Linked DNA regions of Elephas maximus indicus. The protein of the gene in region 2 binds, or shares a complex with, the protein of the main gene of each other region. Links are inferred from orthologs where the notes say so. Each region holds a gene or a part of one and is shown on either strand. Other genes may lie near its edges. The genes, in order: HLTF and S100A10.

The links.
Region 1: the proteins of S100A10 (region 2) and HLTF are in contact, whole or in part, in a crystal structure (PDB 4HRE), measured with the Homo sapiens proteins. The link is inferred for Elephas maximus indicus from reciprocal best matches to the Homo sapiens genes S100A10 and HLTF. Residues at the interface, in NP_002957.1 of Homo sapiens: Phe42, Asp58, Leu59, Asp60, Gln61, Gln70, Ser74, Leu75, Ala77, Gly78, Leu79, Ile81, Ala82, Tyr86; in NP_001305864.1 of Homo sapiens: Thr32, Phe33, Phe34, Pro35, Phe37, Phe39.

The regions. Positions count from the first base shown.
Region 1 is NC_064841.1:10,840,414-10,856,569, reverse strand, and holds the start of HLTF (helicase-like transcription factor), read right to left. Parts: upstream 8,079-16,156; 5' UTR 7,868-8,078; coding exon 7,848-7,867; intron 6,373-7,847; coding exon 6,165-6,372; intron 6,147-6,164; exon of another isoform or gene 5,735-6,146; intron 2,592-5,734; coding exon 2,425-2,591; intron 755-2,424; coding exon 621-754; intron 94-620; coding exon 1-93. UniProt on the Homo sapiens protein: Has both helicase and E3 ubiquitin ligase activities. Possesses intrinsic ATP-dependent nucleosome-remodeling activity; This activity may be required for transcriptional activation or repression of specific target promoters.
Region 2 is NC_064821.1:186,185,204-186,201,794, forward strand, and holds the start of S100A10 (protein S100-A10), read right to left. Parts: upstream 7,296-16,591; 5' UTR 7,187-7,295; intron 7,153-7,186; exon of another isoform or gene 6,981-7,152; intron 1-6,980. UniProt on the Homo sapiens protein: Because S100A10 induces the dimerization of ANXA2/p36, it may function as a regulator of protein phosphorylation in that the ANXA2 monomer is the preferred target (in vitro) of tyrosine-specific kinase.

The DNA.
Region 1 (16,156 bases), on a different chromosome or scaffold from region 2:
CAGTCGTCATCTGCACTGCAGCGTGAACTGGCATACTGTAGCTTGGTCCCGCTCTTCCAGAGCCCCAACCACTTTCCACACTGAATCCTAAAGCTGTTAGTTTACAAAACGAAAACAAAATCACGAAATAGGCATTTTTTGCATTAAGTAGTTTTCAAACTTACATAATAAACTATATTAAAAATTCCCTTAATAGGTCTTTTAAAAAAAAAAAAAAAGCTAAATCCTAAACCATTAAAAAAAAGTATTAAAATAATTCCATGTTATTTGAGCAAACTCTTGCCAAACAATCCTTTTCTTCTTGTCTATAATTTATCAGTAAGAATGCTGAAAATTCAGGATTTAGAGATGTTACCACCAAAAGAAACAGAGTAAAGGGTATATAGGACACCTTCCAGCAAATGTTTTTGTTTGTTTTTGCAACTCCCTGTGAACCTTTAATTATTTGAAAATAAAGAGTTAAAACAATAAATCTGGAATTTCCTTAAAGAGATGCCTAAAAAAAAGTTGTAACTTGGAACCTTTACCCCAAATTAGTTTGGCCAACCAAACTCAAAGTATTACTTAAGAGAATAAACGTTTTACAATCAAAATAATAGTCAACAAAACCCTAAACTTACTTTTTGGTGGAGGAATCAGTTTAAATCCATGTTTCTTCAGCTGATCTAAAACTGCTTTTCTATTTTCTTCTTTTCCCCAAAAAGCCATATGGAGAGGCATGGTAAAAGCATTGTTTGCACCAAAAGGAACTACCCTATTGTATTTTGGGGAGAAAAAAGTGTGAAATTAGAAGTGTGAATTTTTTTTTTACCATTGAGAATCTGTTAAATATTCTAAGTGTACCATTCAAATGCTGCATGCGAATAAAATAAAAAGGAACTAGGTTGGACAGACCAGAAAAAGAGGAAAAGGACAGGGAATAGAATCAACAACAACCAGAAAATAGTAGATTTTAAGAACAGACTGCCAGAAGAAACTGAGAAAGTAGGATAAAGCAATTTTAAAATACAAGCATAGCCTGTGACAAAGATTATAAGATAGGTAAAACAGTATAAGAGGATAACAGCTTTGGTTAATAGGGCCACCAAAGACAGCAAACCAGTTGTGCTGGGAGAATGGGAAATGCTTCATAACAACTATTTCTGATGCACAATTCATTAAAAGTTTATTCTCAATACCTTAAAAACTTGAATTTAAAAAGGAGAAAACAAGTAAAGGAAGACACAGCTAAGCAGTTTACCATCCAAACTCACCTTTTCATATCCTAAATATTCCAAATATTTGAAGAGATCAGAAACATAAATGCCTTGAAAAAAAAAAAAGATAACTAAAGAGGCTCAGAGTTTAAAAAAAAAGAAGTGGTGAAACTAGAAAGTTTATGTGCGCCCCATCCCAACAAACAGCTGCTACTCAGCTCCAGTCAACTGATGCCACGTGGGAATGAGGGTCTACCATTGCCAGATATCCCATTTGTCAAGAGAAAATCTCTGTAAATACATTTTACGTTTAGAAAGAAAAGCTAATACATATAAAATGAGAAACACCCTGATATTTGAATGCTAAAATGAATGAAAAAAGTTTTAACACTGTGCCAGCTGAAACTTGGCTACATCTGATGACAGGCTGCCAGTTTATAACCCCTGATTTAAACACTTCCAGACTCCCAAGCCTATGTAACCAAAGATTTTGAGAGACGTATGGATTTCCTAATATTTGAACCAAAGTCTATATTTCTCCAGTAGGAAAGTGAGAGGATACCTGTTTCATAGCTGGAGTAGTGGAGACTTAAGAGAGGATGAAAACACTTACTAAATACATACTAAAGGTGCAGTAATAAAAGTTCTTAGGTGATGTAGGTTGCACAACATGATGAACGTAACTGATGTCACTGAATGGTACGTGTAAAAAATGTCAAAATGGCAAATGATCTGTTACACACCTCCTCACTTATCGACTACCTTGTTATCCAACATTCACATTTATGACATTAGTAGAAAAAGCTACTATCCAACTATGTTGCACATTAACAACATAAGCCTGGTAGTAACGAATGCCAAGGTGTGAGGCAAGAGCAATGCTGGCTTTGATGGTTAAGGTTTTGTGTTAACTTGGCTGGGCCATGATTTCCAGTGGTTTGGCAGTTATGTAATGATGCAGCTTGGCAGTTATGCAATGATGTAGTCCTCCTCCGTTTTGTCAGCTGATTTGGTCATCCTCCACTTTCACGTAACACTGATTTTGCTTAACAACCTGGTCTTTGGAATCTAACCATGTCGATAAACAAGGAGAGGGTTTTTATAGATTTATCACAATTTTTAAAAATGTTTTTAGAGTACCTACACAGGCGCTAGCAAGGAGCCTTAACAAGTTCAGAGTTAACTACCAATCCCCAATTATTAAAACTAAACTCTCAAAGTACATTACCCTTCAACTTGAGCCAACTTGTTGTCCATGATATAGGCCAAAGCAGCTGCAAGATCTTTCTTAACATGGCCAACCTGATTTCCATTCACGTTGTTTACTTTAATCGCATTCTTATCATAGGGGTTATTAGGCTCTCGTTGTAAAGCAACCATTTCATTATTATTAACCTAACAAAAATAATGAGCAGAAGTTAACACTTTACTTCATCATATTTTATCTATTTTTTAATGCTTACTGATAAACATCATATAAGAAAAGCATTTTTCTTGAAAGCAAACCATAGAAAAATTAAAGAATATATTTTATAGTAATTCTTTTTATAGTGCTTTTCTAATTTACATTCATTGGGAAGTTAAGAAATTCCTGATATCTAAAAGCTCACAGATTTACACTATCTAAAATTTCTAATATCACAACTTCTGAAAAACAGCAAACCTTTACTGAGTGCCTACTATATGCTAAACATTATTCTACGTACATTAAATGGATTGACCTGTTAAATCCTCACAGACTTGTAGGGCAGTTACTATCATTATCCCCATCTTACAGATGAAGAAATTAAAGCATAGAAAAGTTAAGTAACTTGTTCATGGTCATAAAGTTATGAGCAGAGCTGAGATCTGAACCCAGGCAGCCTGGTTCCTCAGCCTCAGTTTTCCAAAATCTAAAAGTGAAAAATAAAGGTGTTAATTATAAGGCAGACAAGAACTGGAATAAGAAAAATATATCCTGCCTTCAATTAATGCCATTCTCTGATTTCACGTGACTGAAAGTTGCCCAAGAGTGTTATCATTGAAGATGGCAAAGTAAGGACCTCCAAGAACTTTCTCTTCCATAAAAGCAACTCTGGAAACTAGCAAAAGGCTTATGACAACCTGAATAGCATTAGTTCAAGAAAAATAACTGAGTTATCAGTGCCATAGTCCCATCCCCTGCTCTCCAACTACACGGTAGCCTTTAAGAATAAAAGCCTACTGGCATTCCTGACGTAGCCTGACAGGGACTAGAGGAAGCAGAATGGATAAAGTTCTTTCAATGTCTCACTCTCAGGCACTGAGTTTCCATTAATGGTGACAGAGTAATTTGGAAAAAGACAGGGGTAAATGGTCACACAATATCATGAATATGATCAATGTATTGAATTATACACGTTAAAAGTGTTGAATTGGCAAATGTGTCTTATACACTTTCTGCAACGAAAAAGAAAGTCTCATTCCCAAAGAATTATCATTATTTGACCAGTCTGGTGGTTCCCTAGAAGACCCACTTGCAAAGCTGTTTGTATTTGACCTAACAGAAAGAGATAATCACAATAGTAGGATAATATGACCTCATTTTTATTAATATACAATATGATTGCAATTTACATGCACACAGAGAAAATTGTGGAAGAAACATCAATGTGAATAAGGTATGGTTCTGAATGGTAGGTGTTAGGGTGATTTAATTCTTTTTTTCTTTTAGCCATTTTTTAAAATAATGAACATGTATTACATATAAAATAAATAATACACCTTTGTAAAAATAAAGAAATTAAATGCTAATGACTTTTCATCAGCATTACATATAAAATAAACAACACACCTTTTTTAAAAAATGAAGAAATTAAATGCTGATGACTTTTAATCGGCCTACCACATTTTTATTAGATTACCAATGTCATAAAGATTGTTCTGATATCAAATAGTGATTGTGCTCAGAGTAATAACACAGCAGAAAACCATAACCTAATATTTTACCATTGTTTAAAGTAATTTAGAAAACAACATAAGTTAAAAAAAAATAGAACAAATCAGAAATAGAAAAGCATAGAAATTACATGGTTAGGCAAGAGATGGATATAAAATAAGAACCAATAGAATTCAGGAAATAATTAGAAAAAAGAAAAACCATTTCTGGATTGAAGACAAAAGCAGAAATAACACAAGAGTGACCAGAACTTGTGAAAAACATGGCAAGGGAAATAAATGACGAAAATTAGGAAAGCAATAAAAAGGATTTCAAAGGAAATAATAGACATGGGCTGAGAAAGTCTAACATACAGAGAGATTAGTGAAGAAAAACTAAAGCTATGAAACAAAACAAACATTTAAAGCTACAGAAAATTTTCTGAAATAAAAGGAAATTTGAACTTACAGAAGAGTCAATACTAAGTAAGACATACCATAACAAAACAATTGGACTTTCAAGATAAGGAAAAACATTCTTTGGTCATCCAGGCAAAAAAATTCCAATACACTTATATGGGAGATAAAACCCTACTGGCATCAAGATTCTCACCAGTAATATTTTATGCAACGTTAAGGTAACATAGGAAGAAAACATGGGCCAAGGATTACATATTCAGCAAAACTGCCCTTCAAGTATAAACTCCTCAACTATGAACACGTAAAAACTGAGGAAACATTGTTCCTTTCCATAGAATTTCCTAGTAAATATCTTTCAGACAACTACAGAATGACTTGAAAAAAACTTTCAATATAAAAAAAAAATTGGGAAAACAGAAGCATAGACAAATCCAGAACATAAAATTTCTACGCAAGGAAATCTCCTGCAGAACATGATTCAGACAACCAAAAAACGATCTGAGAAGCTTCAACCTAAGAAAAACATGGGGCAGTGGAAGAAGCAACAAATCTAGAACATTCTACAGAATAACACAGCTGGTTTCTACAATAAGTCAATGACATGAAAAAAAACGGCAGGAGGGTTACGAGGTATAATAACCAAAGGTAATGTATGAACCTTCTTTTGATGCTGATTTGAAAAAACCAACTATAAAAAGACAAGAAAATCTGATTATGAATTACTTCTTACATGTAAGAAGAAATTATTAACTTTCACTATACAAATGACACAAAAATGTAGTTTTAAAAAGATACACACTGAATTATACAGGTGTAAAATGTTGATATGTTTGGGATTTCCTTTAAAGTACAAAAGAACAAAGAAAAGGAAAAAGGGATACACGAAGCAGATATGGAAAGATCTTGTGAACAGTTGAATATAGATCATGGTTATACAGGAGTTTATAGTCTACTTTTATGTATGTTTTAAATTTTTCATAATAAACAAAATTACGTAACACAGAGGCATACTAGACCACCATAACAAATTACCGACCAGAGAAAGTTACATTCTCTTTCGGACACACACGCGCGCTCGCGCGCGCAACACAGACAAAATGCAGAGGATAGAGAGCTACAAAAAGACAGGCACAAAAGAAAAGAAAAAATGGGAGACAGGGACAGTCTTCACTACAGGAAAAGAAAAAAGACAAAAAGCTCTTAACAATAGACAATTCGCTTACACAGCAGGAGCTGATCTTCCAAAATTAAAATGCAGAAATGCACTAAGGGCCAGAAGAGGAGAAGGCAATGGACTGGGAAGTCATTCCCAAATACACCATTTAGTAATCCGTGTGTTTTGGGCAAAATGTTTAGCCCCTTTCTGAGCTTCAGTTCCTTCATTATAAAAAGGGGATACAGATGTCCCATCTGCCTCAGAGTTATTGCTGGGATCAAATGAAACAGTGCAGGCAAAGTGCTTTGTATACTGTAAGCATAAGAGAATATTAAGTCAAAGTAGTTCAGTTATCTATTATCTCTTGCCTGGATATATTCAATTACTTAGAGTAAAAATAAATATTAACTGCACATATCCCCTTTTAGATTCTCTTATTTTCTAGGTTAACACCATAAATATGTCACAATTTAACTTAATATCTACTTTATACTCACTACTCCTGTATAATAGCGTAGTCCAACAACATGACCTCTCAAAGTTCCAAATAAAACAGAATCTAGCTCTTCATCACTAGTTAGGAAGTCGTCTGGAGGGATAATATCTTGGAATTCAAAACGGGGAAAGAAAGTAGGGTATGAAAGGCGTGAAAAATTTCCATGGACTCCATACTGGACAGTCTGCAAGTACTTCCAAACAGGATCTCTATTTAAAAAAAAAAAAAAAAGTCGTCACCGAAAAACACTACAATATTTAACCAGGTATTTCTCAAAGACCATACCAGTTATCTATAGGCCAGTTTTCTCACACTTTACTCACACAGCAAACGAAATCAAATGTGTGAACCATTGAATATACACTAAGAGTTACCCTGGTTAAAACAGAGATTGGGGCAGGAGAGGTTTCCAGGAACCTTACCTGTTGAACATAACCTCCTCCACACCCAAGGTATTCAGAATGGGAAAAAAAAAAAACACTAACCCCATTGCCGTCCAGTTGACTTCGACCCTAAAGGACAGAGTAGAATTGCCTCATAGGGTTTCCAAGGAGCGCCTGGTGGATTCGAACTGATGACCTTTTGGTTAGCAGCTGTAGCTCTTAAGCATTATGCCACCAGAGTTCAGTGTTCACAAATTTCTTGATTAGCCTAAGGATAACCAATCTATATGAGATGGTATATGTGTGATGTCTGTAACTACACTTATAGGCCAATATTTCAATGTGGATTGAGCTAGAAGAGACTTGCCAAAACGGCTCAGCAATTTCTATATTTACAGATAATCCAGCCCATCCCTGGATTATTACAGTAGACACGGATAGCTTATGCAGCATTCACTGCTTTCGTTTCCTCCGCAAAGAATCCTTATCTCACTCAGGTAGTCAAACCCTGCCATCACGGGGAGCTGACCTCAAGCCCCGCCCTCTCCCCGCTGGTTCCAGGACCACCCCAGGCCCCTCGTGGATAAAATGATGCAGAATTGGCATGAAGAGCGATTCAGACAATGAAAGTGAGGGCGAGTGTGGTGGGCGGGGGGCCTTCAGGAAGTTTCCCCTCTCCTAAAACCCTGCTGGTGTAGTGGTTTAAGTGCTACGGCTGCTAACCGAAGGGTCCACAGTTCGGATCCGCCAGGCGCTCCTTGGAAACTCTATGGGGCAATTCTACTCTGTCCTGTAGGGTCGCTGTGAGTCGGAATCGACTCGACGGCACTGGGTTTTCGGGCAGTCGCTCCTTTCCCTGCGTTTGCCTCGCACATCACGCAGACCTCTCTGGCTCCCCTGGAAGCCTGTGTCTGCACGTCTGTGCACGCTCATAAACCGATCAAAGCCCCTCGGGGGCAAGGACTCTGCCACTCGGCCCTCCATCCCGAGCACAACGCCAGCGCACAGTGGCTCCCTAGGGGACGGCTAGGGGAATAAAGCACGGCCGGAATCCTGGCTACGGAGCCCCAGGCCCCCACAGCCCGTGACAGAGACCTCCCAAGGCCCTGGCCTAAGACTCGCCTGGGGGGCCACCCATCTGCAGCCTTTATTTCTTCCGCGGCCCCAGGAGCGACGGGCACCACAAATACGAGCGGCGCAAACAGCAGAGGAAGCGCGGCAGGGGCGCGGGGAAGGTCAGGTTCATCTGGGGACGCCGCCGCTCGGTTAACCCCAGCGCCCCACCCCTCCGGCCGCTGTACCTCCTGAACATCCAGGACATGGCGCTGCGCGGGGCGGCGAGGGGAGCTCCTGAGCGCCCCCGGAACGTTCTCCAGTCGCCTGGGGACGCCTCCTTCCAGGCCCCGCGGCCGGGAAGCCGGAGACAGGTTCCAAGCGCCCGAGGAAGAGCGCCCCACTAGACGATAAAACGCCGCGAATCCAGTCAGGCGTCGACGCTGTCCCTGCTACCAACAATCCGAGAGACCGGCGACCCTGTGTGACTGGCGCTGAGCGCGTCCAATCGCGAAGAAGAGCCTACGGAGACAAGCCAATCAGAACACGGAGGGGAAGGCGACTCCGCCCCGCGCTCCGATGTACCGAAGGTGGGGGCCCGGGCTGCAGGGGTGGGACCATCCGGGTCCTTCCCCGCCCCCAATGCGGGCGGGCGGGAAAGCCACGCGGTCCCCGGGGCCCGATTGCGGTGCCCGTGATACTAGGTTTTCTGTTTGATTTTCTGCGTCAAACGCAGGGCAGTGTCTCTTCATTCCTCTTTCCCCCCCAGCCTTAAGCCTCAGCCTCATTCTTCAGTCCCTCCCTGATCCTGCCTCCAATATTCTCCTCCTCTGATGGGACATGGAATAGGGTCTCCCATTGAATAAGTTGGAATCCACCAGCCGCTTCCCGGAAACCCTACGGGGCAGTTCTTTGTCCTTAGGATCGCTAAGAGTCGGAATCGACTCGATGGCAATGGGTTTGGTTTTTGGTTTTATGAGTTGGACGGTTTTCAGAAAATCTTAATTGGAACTTAGAGTTATAGAGCACCTCTCCCACTTTGGTTGTGTTTGTTGTTGTTTTTAATTAAATTTATCATTTCTTAATGCAGGAAAGCACAGCACTGTTATTTTTAGTTGCTGTCTGATCGTTCTGATTCAGGCAACCTTATGTATAATAGAAGGAAACAGGTCCTGCTCCAACCTCACAATCCTTGGAGAATTTGAACGCATTGTTGCAACCAGCATGTCAATCCATTTCACCAGGGGTGGATTACCTAGTAAACAAAGTAAGTGCGGACTTCCTTGTGCTTACTAATCTCTAGTGAACAATTTAACACGGATTTCACCATGCCACATCAAAGTGAAACCCGTGTGAAACTGCACTACGTATTAGTAAGTAGGTAGAAGTAAACCTGTGCTTACCCTGCTTACTGTCAGGGGTTGTAAATTTGAAAAGAGGCTTTGATTCTGTAGGGAGGTGCTGTGGGGCTGGGAGGGAGACAGATGCCAGCCATACCTGGAAGCAAAATTTTTGATGTGGTGAAAAAATGTGGAATTGTTCACTACAGATGATCTGGTAAGCAAGGTAAGGACTGTGTTTACCTTGCATATTGCATAATCCACCCATGCATCTCACGCAGGGTTTCTCTGGCTCCTGATGACTCTTTACCAAACATGGTGTCTTTTTCTAGTGATTGGTCTTTCCTGATGACATGTCCAAAGTAAGCAAGATGGAGTCTCGCCATCCTAACTTCTAAGCAGCACCTGGCTATACTTCCTCCAAGGCTGAATTGTTCGTTCTTCTGGGAGTCCAGGTATTTTAAATATTCTTCGCCAACACCGCAATTCAAATGTGCCAATTCTCCTCTGATCTTCCTTTTTAATTGTCCAGCTTTTGCATGCATATGAGGCTGTTGAAAAGACCACGGCTTCACTGCTTGGGTCAGCTGCATCTTAATCATCAAAGTAATATCTTTATGATACTTTAAAGAAGTCTTTTGCAGCAGAATTGTCCAGTGCAGTGTGTCTTTTGATTTCTTGACTGCTGTTTCTGTGGGCATTGATAACTCAAAAGCCATTGCTGGAAATGGTTGGGTCAAAGTTTTCCCTGAGGCACGTGTAGCTGCCCCAGGGAAGGAGCTTGTTTTCCTCCACGAACTGTTAGGGGCAGTCCAAGACACTCCATGGCCAGATTGCAGGAGTCTGAGGGGAACTCAGCCTTTGGTAGGTGGGCCAGTGAGGCGGCTGTAGCCCAGGGCATGCAGGACGGGTACCAGCCGGCTCTGCGGCCTTGGGAGCCAAAGAGAGGCTGCTACCAATTAGAGAGGCCTTTTTGGTTCAGCTGCACCAGAATTGGATGAAGCTGGTAATGGCTCTGAGCCACACCTACTTGCACATTGCAGTTGTCAGATTGTCAGAAAACAATTGCTGGGATCAAAGAGCAAATGTATTTGTAAATGTGATAAATATTGACAATTGCCCTTCAAAGAATGCTCCGTTTTACAGTCCCATTAAGAGAGTAAGAGAGGCAGTCAGTAAAGCAGTTTTTCTAGAGACATTTGTTCATTTTCCTAAATAAACTATACCCATTGCATTATCAACCCGTAGGACAGAGTAGGACTGCCCATTGAGGTTTCCAAGGCTGTAAATCTTTACGGAAGCAGACTGTCACATCTTTCTTCCTCGCAGCAGCTGGTGGATTTGAACCACAAACTTTTTGGGTAGCGGCTGAGTGCTTAACCACTTTGCCACCAGGGCTCCTAAATAAACTATGATGATCCGTAAACTTGAGCCAGAGTCCCTGAGTGGTGCAAACTGTTAACCATGCTAGGCTGTTAACCAAAAGGTTGGAATTCAAGCCCATCCCCAGGCACCTAGAAAGTCCCAGCAATCAACTTCTGAAAAATCAGGTGTTGAAAACTTTATGGAGCACTGTTCTATTCTGACACACGTGGGCTGTCATGAGTCGCAATCAGCTAGAGGGCAGCTGGTAAACATGAGCCAGCAGTGCAGTGAGAGATAGGTTTTGCAGCAATTTATTGATTTATCTCACCAAACAGAAGGCAGACGATGAGGAAGACGAAGATAGTAGCATTTCAAGTATCTTAGTTATTTTCCTTTCTTCTTGAAGTATTAAGTGGCAAGTGGAATGCAGTTCCATTTTTGGTGCGCCAAATTCTGCATAAATTCTTTGAAAATATGCCAGAAAATGCTCAGATCGATAATGTTTTGCCTGTAAAATAATGAATCCATGCTCATTAGACAGAAAGATAAAATTATGTGAGAATATAGGCGATCCTAGCTCTTTCTAGACCTAAGATCTATGAATAATGACACCCCCATGGCTGAAGATTGCCTCTCGAATGAAGTAAAAATTTTGCTGTTTAAGGTCAACATTTTTCTCGCTATTGTTACTATCTTACATCTCAGATCCACCAGTTCAGGTTGGACACAGTTTTTTACTTCATGATTGTTACTGGGTGGAAACCCCAGGTTCTTAACTCGGCGTGACTCGTATTGGCCAATAAACGAGAGATGGAGGTGGGAGAATAAGAAAGTCACCTGTATTTCCTTGTACAAGGAAAATGGAGTCAGTTGGAGCTAATGCTGCCGACCTGCTCCCCAAAGGCAGGCAGGCAGGTTACTTTTTAAAGGGGTTTGCAAGTAGGGAGTTCCTACAACTTACATCAGCAACATTCCTGATGGTATGATTCAGGTGCAATTGGTTTTACATAGAATCTCCAAGGAAAAGCAGCACTCAGATGCAAAGCTGAGTGGGGGAGCTCAGCAAAGGAAACAATTTTGCAATACAACACTGTAGGGGAGGAAGAACATAGCACTGTGGGGGTTCTGTCTCATTATTCTTTGTCCTTTCTTTTTTAAAAAAAAAAATGAGGTTAAGTGCAGTTTGTACTAGTTGGATTGAAATGTTACAACAGTTACAAATTCGAAAATATCACACTAGATGTTTTCTGGAAAATGAACTAAACATTTGTAACTGAAAAGAAACAAAACTGTAGTAGGGTGGCTTGTGTGGTTGTGAGGAGGAGAGTGGCATAAAAAGAGGGTGATGGGGAAGGTATAGGCCAGATTACATAGGAATTCATGGTCTAGAGCAAAGATGTATTCTATTTTAAATGCCATGGCAAACCATTTAATATTTGAAGCGGGAGAATGACAAGCTGATTTAGTCTTTTAAAAAAATCACGCTGGCGGTTCTGGGGTTAATGAATTACAGGAAACAAGAACAGAAGCAAAGGGACCCTCAGTTGATAATTAGAAACCATTGTATTCAGGTAAGAGATGATAATGGCTTTAATTATTGTTCCCCCCCCCAAAAAAAATATGTGTTGGAATCCTAACACCTGTACATATAGAGGAGCCCTAGTTGCACAGTGGTTAAGAGCTAGGCTGCTAACCAAAAGGTTGGCAGTTCGAATCCACCACCTGCTCCTTGGAAGCCCTATGGGGCAGTTCTCTGTCCTATAGTGTCGCACTGAGTCAAAATTGACTCAGTGGAAACAGATTTGGTTTTGGCTACTGGTCGTCCAAATTAATTATATCAGTCTAATGCCATCAGCATGAAATCAAAGAATGGCATGTGTGGCTATTTAAGATCTGTTCCTTCCCTCTTATTCCAGCCTCATATCTTTTGTCACTTCCCGCCCCACACTGCCTATAATGTCCTTTACTGACTTCTCTAAAAAATACAGGTACTTTTATACAGTGAAACCTGTGAGAGCCAGAATGCAACAGGACTGCCTTGTTTTTCTGGGTCTTGTGAGTTTTCTACCTTTGACAGGATGTAGTGTTAATAACACTTTGCTATCGCTCGTTTTAGTGGAAAATGTTTGAGTTTTCCTTCTCTGACAGGTTTCTGCCTTACATAGGCTCCAGCTTTCACAAGTGTAACTGTATATAACCATAAGGCCATTACCCTACCCAATATAATTAATAATAAATCAATCCTTGATGCATTCTAATAACTAGTTCATTATCAAATTTTCACAATTGTCTCAAAAAATGTCCTTTTACAGTTGGTTTACAAAATGGAATTTTGAAGCCTTTGGTAAAAAAAAAAAGAAAAAAAAAAAACTTAGGCAAAGACTCTGGAGTTCTAAAAGTCTGGCTTCCATACAAAAAATTCCCAAGTTTACATCATAATAGATTCCAGGAAAATGAATGATAATATAAGAGCTTGTTTGTTTGTTTCTTTCACTCAAAAGGGGAGAAAGTTCAACAGAGCCAGAGAATTTTCAGGATCAGGAATGAAAGCTTGGAGGGTCTTAGGGAAAGAATCAGGAATGCTATCACTTTGGGCCAAGCTCCACAAAGGCAGGAAAGTTTCCAGAGACCCCATAAGCAAAGGAAGCTGTAGCTCATTTCCCTACAGTAGCTTCAGTATTCTGCATATCTGCACAGCCTCAGAGACCAGAAACATGCCAGAGGAATAAAGAAATGAAGGTGAGGGAGAAGGTTTTGTGAAAGGGCCTGAGGACAGCCTTCCAGAATCCTGTGAGACTCCCTAGTGAGTCAGTGAAGGTAGGAGGCCCTTACCAGATCATGGTTCTAGCAACCAGAAGCAGGGGCCTGATGTCCAAAGATGAAGCAGGATAAATTATATCAGCAGTGGCTGCCTGCAGAAATGAATGGAATCCAAATATAATCCTCCTGGAAGATAAGGGAGTCTCTGATTGGTATAAAAGGTTAATGCACTTGGCTGTTAACCAAAAATTAAAGGCTTGAGTCTTGGAAGAAAGGCCTGGTGATCTTTTGTTGAAAAATCAGCCATTGAAAACCCTACAGAACACAGTTCTACTCCAACACACGTAGGTGGGATCCCCATGAGTTAGAGTTGACTCAATGGCAGCTGAGTTTTTTGGGGGGAGGGTGAGAGGAAGGGGACAGAATTTGAAACCTGAAATTGAAAGAACTTAAATCTTAAAATGAATGAATTGCCTATTTTTGTTTTGTGTTTTGAAGTTGATTCCAACTCATAGAACCCTATAGGACAGAGTAGAACTGCCCCATAGGGTTTCCTAGGCTGTAGTCTTTATAGGAGCAGATTGCCAGGTCTTTTCTCTGGAGGAGCAGCGGGAAGGTTCAGACCACAGACCTTTTGGGTTAGCTGCCAAACATTTAACCGTTGTACCACCAGGGCTCCTTACTGAACTACCTGGAAGTCACTAAGTTAATTTTTTTTTTTTTTAGGCAAACCGGAGGCCTAAAACAAATTAAGTTCAATAAACAAAAATAAAGTTTTATCTTGGCAAACAGAGTTAGTGATAGGTGTTCATATATGCTGTGCAGACATATACACACATATCTCGGTGAATTGACACCTAGATATAGCAGATACCTCTAGCTGTTTGAATTAGGGGAATTTTCATTTTCTTCTTGGTCCTTATATGCATGGAAAATGTTCTTTATATTAAACATGTATTGCTTTTTTGCTATAACAAAAAATGTAAAATATTTAGAGTAAGGAAGTTATGAACCAATTTTTAACTTTTATTAACAAATTTTAGACACAGAAAGTTGCAAAAATAGTACAGAGTTCCCTCATATCCTTACCTCATTTACTTTAACACCCTGCATAGCTATAGTGCAGTTATCAAAGCCAGGAAATTAACATTGGTGCAATACTATTTCTGAGCCTTCTTTTTAAGTAACCAAAGAGAATAAGGCAGAGGAAATGATAGAAAATTTTTTGTGTGTGTGAGTCAGTTATTTACAATTGAATTTTCTCACATTTATTCCGGGTAGAATCCTAGGTGAAACCACAGTTGACTGGGCAGAGGAAATAACGTAAAATTAATGCCAAGTAAAATTTTTCTTAATTAGATATGTATGTCATAGACTATACCTGCCTGATTATATAAAAGGACGAGATTTCGTTTTCTCTCTGCAGTCTCTTTTGCAGATTGCCTATTTTGTGTTTCACTGTCTGGTTTAAAGTTTATTCAAAAAAAATTCTTCTTAATTACATAAAATAACAAATGCCAAATGCCTGCCCTGAAGTAAGCACTCAGTAAACGCTCTTGTTATCATGACTATTATTGTTATAGAGTTATTGTCTAATGAGTCCTCCGTCATTTGACAAGGAATACGGTTGATTTAGGTAGACTTCCTGGTACAGATGGTTAGGATTGTTCCTAAATACCAGAATAACGCTGTTGCCAGAAGCCAGTTCATTTCCCAGGTGCATGTCCTTGAAACAGCCCGAATTGTTTCCAGAACAAAGAGACACTCAGACCCCAACTCCCACGCTGAAGAATCTATGGTGTTCCAGATGACACAGCCCTTTCTCAAGAGATAATTGTTTCCTCCTCCTTTAGGCCTTGGTTCCCTACATGCTCTTACCAGGCCCCCGCCGAGTGTTGCTGAGGCATCAGGCCAGCCTCAGATATGCCCCCTCCTTTGCTTCCTGCCCAAGGCCTTTTTCTCAGCTTCAGGGCAACACGCATGCGCCAGTCTGGGCTGTAGAATGATTTAAGGGTGACTCAGAATTGACTCCACAGCAGTGGGTTTTGTTTTTTTGGTCAGCTCAGATGCTAATCAAAATTTCCGCAGTTTGAATCCTTGGAAACTCTATAGAGCAGTTCTCCTCCATCCCATAGGGTTGCTATGAGTTGGAATCGACTTGAAGTCAATGGATTTTATCATGGACATAGCCAATGTTATTTTTTTATTTTAACGAAGACTGCAAGGATTGCTGAGCACTTTTCTGTCTCCTGTGTAGCTAGGAAGTTAAAAGACCAAAACATCAACTCTAGATGCACTTTTTGTATAATCAAAAACTCTATAGTGGGAAACTATATTGTACTAATAAATCATTGTTGTTCATCATCACAATTCATCAAACTATTGCCCCTGTTGCTTCCTACAAACCATATCTGCTTGAAAAATTTTTATTAGTCACTCCCTACATGAAACACCCTTATACTGGACATTGGAAATACAGAGGCGGCAATCTAGCTTATATGTGTAGCTTACTGTACCGCCTGTGCCTGTGTCAGGCTGGTTCAGTTCCCATCTGCTTTTCACAGGAAAATAAATTTGCTTGCCTATTATTACCAGGTGGAAACCCCAGGTTTTTGGTTGGCATGACTCGTATTGGCCAATAAACAGACTGAGATGGGAGAACAGGAAAGGCACCTTTATTTCGTTGTACAAGGAAATGGAGTCAGCCGGAGTTGTTGCTGCTGAAACTGGACAAATGCCCAGTGTGCAAGAAGCCAAACTCTCAGACACTGGCTTTGAGAGGAAGAGTTTTTTTTGAAGGCTGGCATAGCAAGCCGGAACTCAGAGATATCAACCTCATATTGACTTCCTCAATTTGAGGAAACTTTCACATTTTATAATTATACATATTCATATAGAGGTGGAGGAAGGCTGCGGGCTGGATCAGGAAGTTTTAACTATTCACAGTTTCTGCTGATTATTCATTGCGAGGCAGGGCTACGACTCCGCACGAAGTGGCCGACAGGCTCTGTTTTTGAAATGGGCTGGGCTACTGCAGATGCCCTACGTCGGTGATGTTGATTCCTTGACATGAACCTTTTCTTTCCTTAACA
Region 2 (16,591 bases):
AAGAAAGAGATGGACTTAAAAATGAACTGTGCAAAATGAAAACAGTACTTAAAAAGATTTGGAAAATTCCGTTGTACAAACTAAGGATATGTGTCCTAGAATGTTCACCAAGGACGTGGCTACACAATCTTTTGTTAAAAAGATTAAGCCTGTGACTGAGGAATCTAACCAACTACACAACAGAAAACCCATCAGCTTAGACTGAAGGGAACAGAGAAGAACAAAAGGACCCAAATCAAAAACCAAACCCAGTGCCATCGAGTCGATTCCGACTCATACTGACCCTATAGGACAGAGTAGAACTGCGCCATAGAGTTTCCATGGAGCGCCTAGTGGATTCGAACTGCTGGCCCTTTGGTTAGCAGCCGTAGCATTTAACCACTACACCACCAGGGTTTCCCGGAGCAAAAGGAAAGAACCTAAAAATCACTACTGGATAGGGAACAGGTGAATTTAAACCAAGACTCTAATATGCCACTCACCCTTCCCCCTCCCCCACAAAAATCCCAAGAATTGACTTTAAGCACAGGCTGAAGGAGAGGCCGGCAACTTCCCTCCTCTGAAGGGTGCTAACAGGAACCTGAGGTATGCTTTCCACCTGGGTCCTGCTGCCCACAGATGCATGTTCAACCCAGAAAAACCAAAACCAAACCCAGTGCCGTCAAGTCGATTCAGACTCATAGTGACCCTATAGGACAGAGCAGAACTGCCCCATAGAGTTTCCAAGGAGCGCCTAGCGGATTCGAACTGCCGACCCTTTGGTCAGCAGCTGTAACACTTAACCGCTACGCCACCAGGATTTCCAAAAACCAGGCCCGTTCCCATCGAGTCCATTCTGACTCATAGCAACTCTAGAGGACAGAGTAGAACTCCCCCATAGAGTTTCTAAGGAGCAGCTGGTGCATTTGAACTGCCGACCTTTTGGTTAGCAGCCAAGCTCTTAACCCGTGGGCCACCCAGGGCTCCACTACATGTTCAACAGAGATCCCTAAATGCTGTCCTTTATAGAGGAGAAGGTGGAGCTGGTAAACACTAGGACTGAGGAATTACACTTAAGAATTGTATACGCTATCCCTTAATCCCCAGAAAAGAACGGGAAACAGCGTGCCAAAGAATGTGCTACTCTAGCGAATGCTATAAGCCAGAATCTGGCATAATTCATCTGGAGGGCAATTCCCTTGGAAAGGGCTGCGAAGTCCACTGGGAGATGAATACCAGCGGAAACCACACCCTTTCCCCTGTCTTCCTACACCCAGATCTGGCTTATCCACCATCCCCCATATGGGTTTCAGATGGCAGTGGACTCAGAGGGAGTCTGCCTTGCCTGGATTGGTTCTGCAAGTCCAGCCACGTGTGTGCTTTAAGAGAAATGAACTGAGTGAATCACCCAGGGGAGATGAACGTGGAATCCTACCCCACTTGTTAAATACACAGGGAAGGAGTTAGGTGCCACAGATGTTTAAAAATACCTGTGCCTAAGCTCAGAGCAGCAGAGCACTTCATTTCCAATTCCTACAGATCCTAGAAGTTGAAACGTGCTGTGGGACATCACCTTCTTCACAGGGCAGAGCAGAAGGAAACCCAGAGTGCACTACCACAGAAGTAAGAAAGGGAATGCTGGAGGGTAAACCTGTGGCAGATTGATTCATGGTGTCCCTATGCGTTGCAGAGTAGAACTGTGCTCCATAGGGTTTTCAATGGCTCAAGAATAGTCTGTGAGCTGTGATCTTTCAGAAGTAGACCACCAGGCTTTTCTTTTGAGGTGCCTCTGAGTGGATTCGAATCTTTCAGTTAGTAGCCAAGTGCTTAACTATTTGTGCCACCCAGGGACTCTGCAGTAGGGCAAAACAAACCAAACCCACTGCAGTGGAGTCCACTGCAGCTCACAGCCACCCTAGAAGCAGTAGAACTGCCCCATAGGGTTTACAAGGCTGTAATCTTTACGGCTATGAGTTGGTAATCGACTCAACGGCAGTGGGTTTGTTTTTTTTTAATCTTTACGGAAGCAGGCTGCTACATCTTTCTCCCCAGTGGCTGGTGGATTCCAACCACCGACCTTTTGCTTTAACCACTGCGCCACCAGGGCTCCTTGCAGTAGGGCAAAAACAAACGAAAAAAACCAAACCGGTTGCCGTGGTGTCGATTCCAACTCATAGTGACCCTATAGGACAGAGAGCTGCCCCATAGGGTTTCCAAGGAGCAGCTGGTGGATTCAAACTGTCGACCTTTTGGTTAGCATCCAAACGCTTAACCACTGCGCCACCCGGGTCAAGACCCCTTAATACAGGAAGATAGGCTAATCCAAGAACTTCTAAGAAATACAAGTTGAAAGGTGAGGATATCCTAGCCATCTTGAATCTCTTCCTCCCAACCAGTCTTACGCGCCCTGCGAGAGCGCTCGGGTCTCAGGTCACTTTACCAAGTGATGGAGCTTTTGTCTCAGAAGCCACACCGCTGCCCCACTGGGTTCCCCCTCCCCCTCCCGGCAGCTTTATTCAGCAAATGGGTTGTGAATACAACAGCCAGCTGACGTCCTATTTGTCCAGTAGACCTTTAGCAATCAGAATGCAGAGCCGGGGCTGGCCGGGAGATGTAAGGTTGTGAAAGTGAAATTAAGTGTTTAAAGTCAGAGGAGATGCCCTGGTCTCAGTTCATAGTATTGATCAGGGTTTATCAACAAGGCTGGAAACCCTGGTGGCACAGTAGTTAAGAGTTATGGCTGCTAACCAAAAGGTGGGTAGTTCGAATCCACCAGGCTCTCCTTGTAAACCCTATGGGGCAGCTCTACTCTGTGCTATAGTGTTGCTATAAGCTGGAATCGACTCTACCGCAACGGGTTTGGTTTATTTTTGTTTATCAACAAGAAACTCTGCTTTGAAGAAGGAGCCAGCACACTGGTTAGAGACTAAGAAACAAGGGGGGAAACACTGTGACTACGACTCTGTTCTCTAGTAGCTGAATCACCTCCACCGACACGTAGCCCTTCTCGGTTGGCCTTTTTCTGGAGCGCAGCACCTGCGCCACTGAGTGAGCGCGGCAAGGCCCTCCCTTCATGGGCGGGGCGGGGCGCGGCTGGGCGGGGCGGGGCTGCCGCACTGACCTTTGATTGCTAAAGCAGTTCTGGGACTTGACTGGCGTTTCCATCCCCCCAGCCACCCGACACGCTCCACTCCTGGGCAACGGTGGGCCTCCTGCTTCCTGGATGGGTACCCTGATGGGAGGGCCTCGGGGCTGAGAGGCAGCAGCGTCCTCCACGGCCACCACCTCCTCCAGCACCTGAACCACTTGATCACATTTCATAGTCTGTCTGTCTGCCTCTCCATCTTAGACTTAAATTCCTTATGGTCAAGAATTGTGAATTATTCTGCTTTTATCCGTTAACCACTAAAGACCTGTTTGCTAAACGAGCGGATAAATGAATCAAATGACCCCTTGGCAGGAGCTAAGTCCAGGTTTGATCACCCAGGACTGGGCTGAAAACCTTGGAGCTCAGAGCTCAGCGAGAACACGTGGGAGCTGGGAAGGGCCAGGAAGGAACCGCAAAAGGGCTCACTTCTGAATGGAACAGTAGAGCACAGAGAAAAACACATTCCACAGGCAAAGGAAAAAATGTGTCCTGCTAAACAGGTCTGGTCAGACCCTGCCATGACTCCTCTCCTCTCTCACTCTCGGTGTTTTCTCATGTTTCATTCATCCCACCTTCTACTTCATGCCTATCTCACCGGTGATCTCCATGGGATATTAACCATCTCACTGTTCATGCGCCTTTTATTAAATCATTTCGTTCTGATGCTTGGATATGGCCTGTATATGTTTGTGTGGGCAACGCGACTTAAGAGTGGAGGCCTGGAAGCTGCAGTCCTTCTCGAGGTAATTTTCTCTATGGAAGAGAATTCTAGACTCCATAAATTTAGTCCCTGTAATGGGAATTCAGTTTCCCTTTTTGGCTCTCCCACACAGAGCACCTACTTTGCCTGTCTTGGCATGGTGTCAGGCACTAAGGGACAGACAGACAGATAGACACACGCATGGTTCTTGCCTCTGAGAAGTTCACTAGCTAATGGCATACTTCTTAAAAGTCTGTCCTGAATTCCAGTTATTTGCATTTGTTTCCTCATTAGTCTGTGCGCTACCTGAGCAGGACCCCAGTAGCTACTGTCCTGCCCTCACAGTGCCTCCTCAATAAGTGGGTAAGCATGAGATTGACAATGTAAGATCTGACCAACCTGGAAGTAGCAGGGGAACAACAGGCCTCCTTACAAAATTGTCTGCTCCTGAGCAATCCCGAATGTTTGCTCTGGACCTATGCCCGGATCCAGTCGTAATTTCAAAGAGGACACTTGTAAAGAGCAAAAGGCCTGATTTACTTTGCTCTTCAGTGTCTCATCCAGACCCTAGTTTTCTTACAGACCACCCAGAAAATAATTGGCAGTGATAACAAAGATCTATTATTTCAAATATATTTGAGATTTCCTTCCTTTTGCTTTGGGAATTCTGAAAACAATTTTTTTTCTTTCTTTTTTGAAAACTGAATTTGATCCCTTAAAGGGAATTCAGAAAAATAATGAGCTGAGGCAATGGGTGTGGATCTAGGCTGTCTCCCTCACCTCTTACCAAATAAAACTTTCCCACCAAAGAAGTGGGCAGCAAAGGATAAATTCCAGATGTGACCCAACAGGAATAAAGAACTCAGAAGCCTCCTTGTCCCCAGCAGAGTACATCCATTTTTCCTTGAAGAGTTATCCAGCATCCACCTGAATCAGCCAACAATAGCCATTGTGACAAACTCTATTACATCCTTTGGTGGGGGTAGGTGACAGCTATTTGGTGAAGGGACAGGAAGCCTGAAAATTGCTAAAAAAAATAAGTAAATTCATTGTTTTGGATTTTGATGGCAATTCCGAAATTATGTTCTGGGGAAAAAGAGAAGCTTAAAGATCCTAAAATTTTAATCAAATGTTCCCAGCACTCTGAATGCTAATTTAGACATTATAACACTGAAAGGGTTCCATTGTTTCCCTCATCATTACATTTTAAAAGACTGGGCTGGGTCCAAGGGGCATACCAAGTGGGTAGTGCTCTAAAAAAGCCACATTTTTGGATATGTCAGTGGAAAGCAGAAAGGCACCCCGTCTCAGCTCCACCCAGCCTAAAGGCCTGACCTCACTGTGGTGGCAGCCTGAGAGGCTGGCCACAGGCCAGACATGGGAGGAAAAGGACTTATCCCATGTTGTATCCAGGAAAAAGCCAGGGGTAAGCATGACCTAGACATCAGGGTGAGACCAAACAATTGCTTTATACCCAGTTGACCCTCAAAAAAAATGCGAAACACTGAAATAAGATGCTTCGAATGGTGGATCAAGGACCGTAACGAAGAAACTAGCCTCTAGCTCTCAAGGAGAAGGGAATGATTAAATAGGATCCAGACAGGAATCTGTGGGGGCGGCGCTGATGAAGAAATTTCTAATGAGTTATAAAAAGAAAAAAGTTATATGAACTCATTATTTCTGCCTCAACCGCTGGCATTATTTATTTATTTATTTTGGCATTATCTTTTGCAATTTGCTGAAACACTTTGAAGGCAAAGATCACTGACAGGGTGCTTCCATGAGTCGCCTCACCTCTAAGCACAGGATACAGAAATCCAGTCTTAGAGATTTAAGCTCAAGCTGCAGGGCGAAAAAAAATCGGTAGCCACTGCAAACCTCTTAAGGAAAAGCCACCTCCCAAGGAAAGCTGAGGGAGGCTGCCAGGCAGCATGCAGGCCCATCACCTAGCCAGCAGTCTCCCCTTGCCCCAACCCCCCAACCCAGTGCCATGGTCTAATTACTGCCCTCAAATACAGTTCAGTCAAGGCACTCTCCTTCAGCTTGCCCGTCAGTGCTGGTGTGACTCACTTCCTCCTGGAAGAGTCCTCTAAGATGGCACAGTTCCTTTTTCCTTCAGGCAGTGTTCTGTCCAAACCATCTGCAGTCTCTGGAACCAGCAGGGCCACACCCACATGGTCTCACAGCTGAGTCATAGACCCCTCACCACTAGGAGAATCCTGGAGTCCCCAGTGGTAACCCCGCCCTGCAGAATGCTTCCAGCTCCCCGTGGGAGGGAAGAGAGGTCCGGAGAGGGAAGGGTGGGGGGTTTAACGTATTCCAGCTTTGGCTAGGGCTCCGCTTTCCTCATCACCCCCACCCGACATGGCAGTAAGCCCCGGGTTTCAGTTAGGCGGATCAAGATCGATGCTGGGAAATGCAGCATCCAGGGCTGGAAAGAAGCTCCATTCCTTTGGCCAAGTTCAAGTTGTGAAGGAGGTACAAATGGCCTGCGGCCTCTATCTCCGTCTCACTGCGCTGGGGTTGGGAGACCTTTCATGAAAACTACTCTTCCCCCATCTCTTTCCAGGGCCACTTATTTAATGAAGATGACAAGAAGAGAAAACTTAATTCAGTCGAGATTCGCTTCACAGTCTCCCCCCAACAACAACAAAAAACACCAGCAACAGAAAACCCGCTTTATAGAGAAAACCAATAGTCCTCCCTCTCGCAGCAGTGAGAATCTCCCCGTCTGGTAGACAAACAACAGGAAGCCCGACCTGAAGCTTCTGTTTGGGTGAGGGGCTGGTGTCTCCTTTAGGAAGGGAATCCGCCAGCTGCCAACCCGCCCCAGCCCTCCCCAAGCCTGCTCGGGTCGTCTAGCCGGAGGGGGCTACGAACACTTGGACAGAGGTCCGCCTGCGGCCGGAGCCCACAACGAAACCACACACGCCGGCCGGGAAAGGGGGCCAGAAGCCGGGGTTCGAGTAACTCGGGAGACTAGACGAAATGCAGGAAAGGTGGGCGTAAACGAAGACAAATTAAAAAGAATGAGCGAGCAAAAGCCCAGGGGCACCAACATCCATGTCCCGTAGTAAAATACAGCGCACGCCCCACACCCGCCCGCGAGGGTCTGGGGACGGCCGCGCGGGGACCGGGGAGGGGCGCTCTCGCCTCGCCTGGGTGTGGCCCGGCGCGTGGAGCAGCGAATTCTCCAGCAGCGGCTCCCCGCCGAGGCGCTTGGTGCCCGGGGCTCCGCAAAGCCAGGTCCGGCAGGCAGAGCAGCAGGCTCGGGGGCTTTCCCTAGGCGCCAGGGCTGGGACAGCAGGAGGGACAGCCCGCCTGGCCGACGGGCAGTGCGCGGGTCCGGCGGCACTCACCTTGGCCGGGAGGCGTGGCACGGACGCTCAGCGAGCTGGGACGCAGGGCCAGTGAGGGCAGCGCTGCAGGCACTGCGCCTTAGTACGTGGGGGCGGGGGGGGGGAGAGGGCGGAGGCGCGAGTCCCGCGCGGGGAGCAGGAGGAGCCTTGGCCTGGTGCTCCAGCCGCCACTCACCCCACCCCTTGTCTCCTCCCTCCTCTTCCTGCACACCCCCCCCACGCCACCCCCTCCCCCCACGGGCGCCTCCCAGACACCCTGCTCTCGTTTTGCAGAAGAGCTTCACTATTGCCATTCTCTCGTCCCAAGTGAGCATGTATTATCGAAAGTCCTCTTCAAGTAGGAATATTCAGACTCTTGAATATTTCAGGCCATCCCCACCCTCGGCCGTGCCCTTCCTGTCGGGTTTGGTTTTAGAAAGTGGGTGAGTGTGAAAATCAAAAAGCCTAGTCGTTCTGCGGGTGGGGCGCGCTGGCCCAGACCCAGCTCAGCTGTAAGCAAGCGGCTCTTCTCCGGTAACCTACAGGTCTCCCCGCAAAAAGGTCTAGGGATTACATTTTCTAGACGACATTGCAGGGAGGGGCACGTGAAATCTTAACCACCGCGAAGGCGTTCGCTGCAGACTTAGTTGTTCTAGAATTAGGTTCTGGGATATCAGCCCTGGCTTTCCGCGGCCTGTGGTCCGGATCCGCGTGCATTTACAGAAGAAGCCGCCCTCCCCGACCGCCTGACTCGCTGTGGTGCTGGAGGGAGGGGAGTGTTTGGCTTGTCAGCTCTAGAGGTTTTTCAGACCCTTTGTTGAACAAGGGATTTACCCTTCACGGCTTATGTGGCTTCACTTGGTCAATAGCTCAGCTTCAGTTGGGCTAAAAAAAAAAAACTGTTAAAACCGAAGGTTCAAAACCTTCTTTTTGTTCTGTAATTGGCCTGCCTGCTGGGCCCTCAAAATCTTTAGAAATTTCTTGAAGAAATTTAAAGAAAACCTAGGTGTTTGTTACCGGATTCTACCTGCCACCCTCCGTGACACCTTAGACATTAATAATTTTAGTTGTGGTTTAGGGTTTAATGTAAACTGCTAGCAACAATTGGCAGAAAAGGAATGAGTCCCAAACCCTGGGATTTTCCTTCACACTTCTTTCCCAGGGGAGATCCTGAAGGAGTGAGTGATCCCAAAGGAATGAGCAGACTCAGGGAATCCTCCAAGTGCTACCACGTGGCTAAGCTTGACTGTTGCCAGGAAAATCCAACTTGGAATTCAGCTCTTGCCTGCACTGGTGCTGACTTTTCAGGGGCAGTTCTTCAGAATCTTCCCATGTACTTCCCAAATTCATATCAGGCCTCAGTTTACAGTCACAGTGGAGACGATCCTGGGTCCCTTTTGTCCCTGGAAAGATGCAACTGGATTTACTCATTTAGGAGCCCTGTAGTGCAGTAGTTAAGCTCTCTGATGCTAAGGAAAGGTTGGCATTTTGAACCCACCAGCAGCTCCGAGGAGGAGAAGAGACCTGGCCATCTGCTCCTGTAAAGATTACAGCCTAGGAAACCCCATGGGGCAGTCCTGTTCTGCTCTGTCACATTGATCACTACGAGTTGTAATCTACTGAATGGCACACAACCACAATTCACTTATTTAATTTCTTCATTTGGTCAGTAAACCTTAAGGAATGCTTACTGCATGTGCTAGGCTCTGGGGATTCAGAGATTAAAGAATCAGTTCCTTTCCTCAAGTGCTCCAAGTCTTACTGGGAGATAGATAAGCAAACAATTAAAATCTAGTGTGATTAGTGAATGGCAGAGGCATGTGTTCTGGACGCCATGGGAACATTAAGGAAGGGCTTCCAAATCACCTTGGAGTAGTCACAGGATGATTTTTTTTGGGAAGCAACATTTGACAGATGTTTTAAAAATCACAATAATGCAGGAGTCCCTAGGTGGTACAGATGGTTAAGTGCTTGGCTACTAGCTGAAAGGTTGGCAGTTCAAACCCACCCAAAGGGGCCTTGGAAGAAAGGCCTGGTGATCTGCTCCTGAACAATCACAGCCTTGAAAACCCCCTGGAACACAGTTCTACTGTGCACACACGGGGTCACCATGAGTCACAATTTACGTGACGGCTACTACCAACAACAATGTTGTTTGAGCCACCTGGAAGCAACGACACTGTGATTTTTAAATCTGATTGTAAAAAGATTACTTTTTTATTATAGAAGATTTGGAAAATATAGCAATATATAAAAAAAAAATAATTTGTAAACCCATGAACCAAAGATAAATATCTTTATGTATCGCCTTCCAGTCTTATGCATATATACATATATTTACAATTTGTGATTACACTGATTATCAAATTATTTTACTTTTATCATGTGATACTTTATCTTTACTATTTTTTATGTCATTAAATATCTATCAGGAATGTGAGTGTACATTTGCTCATTCCTTTATGTTTTTTCATTCAACAAGTAACTTTTCACCTGCAATGTGGCTTCTCTCGTCTCTCTTTCCTGCCTGCCAGCTGAAATCTGAGGACTCTGAGGCCCTAGTGGATCCAGCTTCACAAAAGGGAAGGAACTTGGGTTTCTGAAACGCTGTGTTAAATGCTGAAGATACAGTAGGGAAAAAGGTCAGCATGCTGGACACTATCCCTGCTCTCATGTAGCTTGTTAATGATTTATGGATCAGTTGCTCCATAAAGCTCTAAGCCTGCCATGCCTATAATCCTTTTCTAGGAGAAGTGGTCCCAGGCAGGTCTTTCTCAGAAAGTAGTTGTGCCTTGTAAACCACATGCGTGCAATGAAGTCAGGGACCAGAGCCTGAACCCAAGCTGCCAGGAAGGCTGGTGCTGTAGCAGGGGGTGAAGGGATGAGGTGAGGAGAGGAGCAGAATGAATGGCCATCAGAGGAAACGAAACAGAGGCTCAAGCCGGTGTGTCTCTGGAATGAAGAGGAGGCGACGTTCAAGTTCTCCACCAGACTTCTGGCAGGTTCCAGTGCACTAAACGCCGGGAGCAGGAGGGATTGTTTTCCTGGGTACTTTCCCACTTCTTCATGTCACATAACAACAAAACCCCATTACCCAGTGGTTTCCAGTTTTTTGGGGGGTTGGTGGCTGTGGCAGAGAGGGCGGGCTGTCTAACAGAAATGTGTGTTCCTCCTTCTATAGTGTAGAGTTGTCTCTGAGAAGTGGCTGCTCAGCCAAGGATTACGTTCCCAGCACCTCTTGCACCTAGGTGGGATCCTGTGACCAGAATGGGACAGTGTGGTGTGTCACTTGGTGGCCAAATGCAGAATAGGAAGTGATGTGTGTCGCTTGCCAACTAAAGCAACAGCGGTGACTTTTCTGCACTCTCTCTCCAATTGCCAGGTGCCTCTAGGGGTGGAAGAGCCACAGTTGGAAGGAGCCTGGGTCCCTGAATCACAGTGTGGAGGAAAACCACCTGCTGATCAGGAAGACCAACCAGCTTTGGAATAGTTATATGGGTAAAAAAGAAAACTGAAATTTGGAAGTTTATTTGTTTCAACATAGCCCTATCAAACAGTGGGCTTCTTTTGAGTGCCAGCATTTTTGGCAGCACATTTGAAAGGATTAAGTTGCATGTATATTAACTATACTATAGTACTGATGGAAACCCTGGTGGCGTACTGGTTAAGTGCTATGGCTGCTAACCAAAGTGTCGGCAGTTCAAATCTGCCAGGTGCTCCTTGAAAACTCTATGGGGGCAGTTCTACTCTGTCCTATAGGGTCGCTATGAGTCAGAATCGACTCCACGGCACTGGGTTTGTTTTTTTGGTTTATATAGCACTGATCACTGAGTAGAACAGTTGTTGCTGTGATCGCTCAGTCTTTGATACTCATGAGACAAAGTTCTTGCAGGTCTTAGGGAATGCATATAGTTTCTTTGTTTCCTTATGTGTATCAAGTTGTACCGTGCAGCACACAGAAACCATGTGCAGCCTAGCTTAACATTCTGCCTGCCCAGACACTATGTTAACAGTGTGAATCATAGTTGTAGCAAAAGTAAACTTTATCCATCAATTAAAATGCCTTATTAAGGTTTCGGAAACCCTGGTGGCCTAGTGGTTTTTTTGGTTTTTTATTAAGGTTTCAGGTCTCTAAATGGTTCAAATGGTTTACACTTGACTGCCAGCCTAAAGTTTGGTGGTTTGAACCCACCCAGTGGTACTGTGGAAGAAAGGCCTAGTGATTTGTTTCTGTGAAGTTACAGGAAAGAAAATCCTGTGGAGCAGTTCTACTCTGTAGTATGTGAGGTTGCCATGAGTCAGAATCTACTCGATGGCAAATGGTTTGGTTTTTGGTTTGGGTTAAGGAATCACAGTAGTCATCCATGGTATGTCAGTTTACAACCACTGATTTACAAGTATTTGGTCAAGACTTTCTGCTGGAAATCCAAACAAACAAAACCCCAAAGGTGTCTGTACTGGTATACATAAATAGGGAGATATTATAATTGTTAAATGTGTTCCATATTTTTGAATGTTTAGGTTGTTTCTAATTTTTTGCTTTCAGAATAATTGTATATAAAGTAACTGTTTTTGAGCAGATATATTTTCTCAAATGCTTATTTTCTTAGGATAGATTTTTGTTAGGGGTTGTCAACTTTTTTGTTTTATGTGGATCTTAGAGGACAAGGAGGATTTTTGTGGAGGCCGAGAGGAAAAAGCATTGCCATGGAATTGTGGGGAAGCATGTCTATTTCAGGACTTGCCTTCAGTTCTGCACGGGGACAGTGTAGAGCCCCTAGGGCCTTAGATGGAAATGAGTCCTGAGGGGGTACCTGTCCTGGGGCACCTTAGATACTCTGCTGAGTCTTGGAGCTTTTTTCTGAAGGTAAGAAGGAGCCACTGGGAATGTTAAGCAGGGAGTGAGTGACTCTCCTACTTACCAGGTACATGACTCTGGGCCAGTCATTTCATCACTGTGAACCCAAGTCTCCTTATTGGTAGAATGGGGATTGACAGCTATCTCTTGGGGCAACAGAAAAGACTGGACAAGCCAATGATCATGAAGGCATTTAGCGAGCCCCAGCAGGGAGTTTGCTAAGAATAAGTAGACCCTCACCTTCTCTGTGCTTCCTTCACTCAGCTTAATTCCTTAGGGAGTTTAAGGCAGGCTGTTCAGTGGTCCAAGTCCCTGGTGTGTGATTTATGGGTGAACATTTTGGAGCAGAGTCCTCTCTAGGGGACAGGGAGAAAGAGGGAGGAAGACTGAACTGAGGTTCCTTTTGTGCTAACGTAGCTCTTGGAGCAATAGAAGCTGAAGGACTGTAGCCTTTTTTTTTTTTTTTAAAGCACGGGAGAGCTCTTAGCTTGGGGTTGGAAACCATCTGCTTTATTCTATAGGTGAGCTTCAAATTCTGATAATAATTTATCAAATATTTACTGAGCACTTACTAATTCCTGCACTTTCTGGGAACAAAGCATAGAGCAATGACCAAAACAATCAAATTTCTGCCTTCATGGGCCTCACATTCTCACGGAAAAGACAAAGTACAAAGAAGGGGGATAATAAAGCAAACAAACAAAAAATTGGTAATTTGAAATGAGTGGTATGACTGATAGAGGAATCAAAGGGGACAGGTTCTAGGTAGAAAGTCAGGGAAGGCTGTACCAAGGTGGGGGCGTTTAAGACTTGGAGGAAGAAGAGGAACTAGGGTTTGCAAATAAAGAAGAGGCAGGAGGAAGCTTTCCAGGCAGAAAGGAGAGCATTTGGAAAGGGTTGGAGGTGGGAGGGAGCTTGGTCTGATAAGGGAATTAAAAACAATCAGTGTGTCCGAGGAAACCCTAGAGGTTAAGAGCTGCAGCTGCTAACTAAAAGGTCAGCAGTTCGGATCCACAGACACTCCTTGGAAAATGGGGCAGTTCTACTCTCTCCTACAGGGTCCCTATAGGGTCACTATGAGTTCAATCAACTCAATGGCAATGGGTTTGGCTTTCTTTTTTTTTTTTTTTTTTTCAGTGTGTCTGAAGCAGGGCGAGCAAGGGGAGGGTGACACAGATGAGGTTGGAGAGATAGAAGGCTACAGAACACAGTGGGTAAGAGCACAGGCTGTGCAGTTTCAGGGAGACTTGGAAGTGAATTTTATTATCTCTGCCACAATTAGCTATGGGATTTTGGACAAGCCACCTAACCTCTCCAAACCTCAGTTTTTTCATCTGTAAACTGGATCTGATAGTAATACCTACCTCACAGGGATGTGGCGGTGCTATGACCGCTTTTCTGTGGCCTTTCTCACCATGGCCTTGTAACTGCCACCTATGCACTCTTTATTTCCTCAGCCATAAAATGGGTTTCAGATCCCTATCCTGGGAGGTGGGTTATTGTGGGGATTATACTGTATTTATGTGCAGTCATCTCGAAGGTAGGAACCAGTCCCTTGAAGTCCTTTAGTAATTTTTAAATATTTTGCTGACTATGTCCAGCCTCTTAAAAAACACCCAGAAAAGAGATAAACGAAACCAGGATGAAAACCAGTTACAAATTTGTGGGTTTGCTTATGTAATGGGTTGGGGTGGGTGACAGGAAAATCTGGAAATTCTAGGTATCGAAGTTACCTAGGGCTTCTGTGATACAAATACTACAAGTGGGTAGCTTTAAGGAACAGAAACTTATTTTTTCACAGTTCTGGACACTGAAAGTCCAAATCAGGGTCTTAGTCATGTTTTGGTTTCCTCCTTGCTAGTAACTCATTGCCATTGAGTCGATTTCGACTCATAGCGACCCTATAGGACAGAATAGAACTGCCCCTGGACATTTCTTGGTTCCTCGGTGTTCTTGGCCTGTAGCTGATCCTCACATATTGTCTGCTTTCCCCCTTGTGTGTCTCTGTGTCTATTCTGATCTTTTTATCACTCAGAAGTAATGAGCTTTAGGACCCAGCTTACACTGGTAGGAAACCCTGGTGGCGTAGTGGTTAAGAGCTATTTATGGCTGCTAACCACAAGGTCAGCAGTTGGAATCCACCAGGCGCTCCTTGGAAGCTCTATGGGGCAGTTCTATTCTGTACTATAGGGTTGCTATGAGTTGGACTTGACTTGATGGTGATGGGTTATACTGATATGACCTTATTAACATAACGAAGGAGAAACCACTATTTTTTTAGGAGGAGGGGAGGCACAATTCAATCTGTAACACTAGGCCTTCACTACTAATTTTTAACCATGACACTAGAAAACTTGATTTCTCAGTTCCTGCTGTGGATCTCTTCCAAAGAGGAGAAAAAAACAAAAACACCCTGTACCTTGAGTTAAGTAATTAGTCTGGAATAGAACTCCAGCTTGTCTGAGTCCTAAGAACCTTGGCAGTGGGGGAGAACTCTGCAAGACATGACCTGCCCATTGTGAGCTGTTGTCTGCTAGTCTGATAACATGTTTTTCTTTGCTTCATTAGAACTTGAGAACAAGTGGTGTTTCAGGCAGAAGCTCTGGGGCCTCTATCAAAGGGTAAACAGTTACTTCAGCCACAGATCCTCTGCCTTCATTGGTGGTGCTGGAATGTGGCTGGGGAGGGCTCAGAGCAACAGAAATGTGCTTCCATGGTGCCCTGGTGACTCAAACCTCTTGTGAAATGCTGACTGCTTGGTGTGAGCTGATGCCTCAGCAATGCTAGCCAGCAGCTAGCTCTGGGGTTTCCAGGCAGCCCTGTTGGCTGGAAGCTAGGGGAGGCCGCTGTGGGGTGCTTTGGGCAGTATTTACAATTTAGACTGGGAGAGGGTGTGTCGTTGCTTTCTAACTAATGCTGTGGGACCCTCTGCTGGCCACAGAGTGAGTAGCTGTGCATGAGATTTGTTGTCTCCTGAGTGGCAGAATAAGGAGTAGGAAGCCTTGTCTGGAAAGCAGAGGACTGACAACTAAAAAAAAAAAAGAAAATTACCCAGCTGGCTTGAGATGAGTCGGGATCGTCTTGACGGTACTGGGTTTGGTTTTTCTGTTTGGCTCGAGATGAAGGCTGTGATTTAGGCTGGCATCCTGCCCCATTCGCTCATGCCCTTGATAGCATTTCCTAGGGCTTGGGCAGTGGGAAAATGATATTCTGTGATCAAGATACAAGAAAGAAACTAGAGCTGTTAGGTTGGACTAATGACTAGAGGTTGGTGCTGAAAGGACCCAAACCTTAATTAGAACAAAGAATTCAACCAGCTTTACCACTTGGCTTTAAACTGAATTCATCTAATAGTCTTGAGCACAGAGAGTCCAAAAGCCAAAGTGCCTGGCTGTGGGAGGATATACTTGTTGGCAATCATTGGGGGCATCTTTGAGGTCTGTATTGGTCAGATCATACAAGAATAAAAAATGTACTTCAAATCTTGCTTATTAAAAATTACCATGCTAATTTTATCATCTACAAAGTACTATTTCAGAAATTATTTCATTGTTTCCTAAAATCATTTCATGGAGTATTTTAGATGTGTTAGGGTTATAATAATTTATTGTGCTTTACAAATATTATCTCTAAGCCTCTGCAAAGCCCTGTGGGATAGATACTAAGTCTGTTTTCAGAGGAGGAAAGGAAGCTCAGAGAGGTTAAGTAACTTCCCTAAGGGCACACAGTCCTATTAGAAGGCAGGTAAGTCTAGTCTCAAAGCCTCCCTTCTTGCCACAACCCCACCTTGCCTTTTTTTGGATAGTGCAATATCTGCTTAGGAACATAATCATAATGTAGGCAGGAACATGAAGAATGTACATTCACGAACAGCTCTGATACGAGGTAGTGTGTGACCAGTGTTGTACAGGGGTAACTGGTAAGACCAGTAAGAGTTTAGAACAGGCAGGCTGTCTTCTGAGGCATTGGTGGTTCAGTGGTAGAATTCTTGCTTTCCATGTGGGAGACCTAGGTTCGATTCCTGGCCAACACATCTCCTGTGCAGCCACCATCTGTCTGTCAGTGGAGGCTTGCGGTGCTAGGATGCTGAGCAGGTCTCAGCACAGCTTCTAGGTTACGACAGACTAGGAAGAAAGGCCTGGAGATCTACTTTTGAAAATTAGCCAGTGAAAACCCTATCAATCACAACAGCCTGATCTGCATCTGATCCTGGGATGGCGTAAGATGAGGCAGCATTTTGTTTTGCATGGGGTTGCTGTGAGTTGGGGGATGACCTGATGGCAGCTAACAACAGGCTCCTTTCTGGCTAGGATCACTAAGAATAACTTCATGTAGGATGAAGGATTGGAAGTGAGCTTTGAAGGTTGGGTCAGATTTGACAAGCATGGATGGGGCATGAAAAACAGGTGCCGAGAAGTGGGCATTCCAGGGGGAGGGAGTAACATGAATAAAGGTGCAGGGGTGGGGTGTGCAGGATGCATTTGGAGGAACAAGGAGAAAAAAAAGATTTGGGTGAGAGGTAAAGGCTAGATTACTGCTGGCTTTGCATTCCAGGATAAAGATTTTAA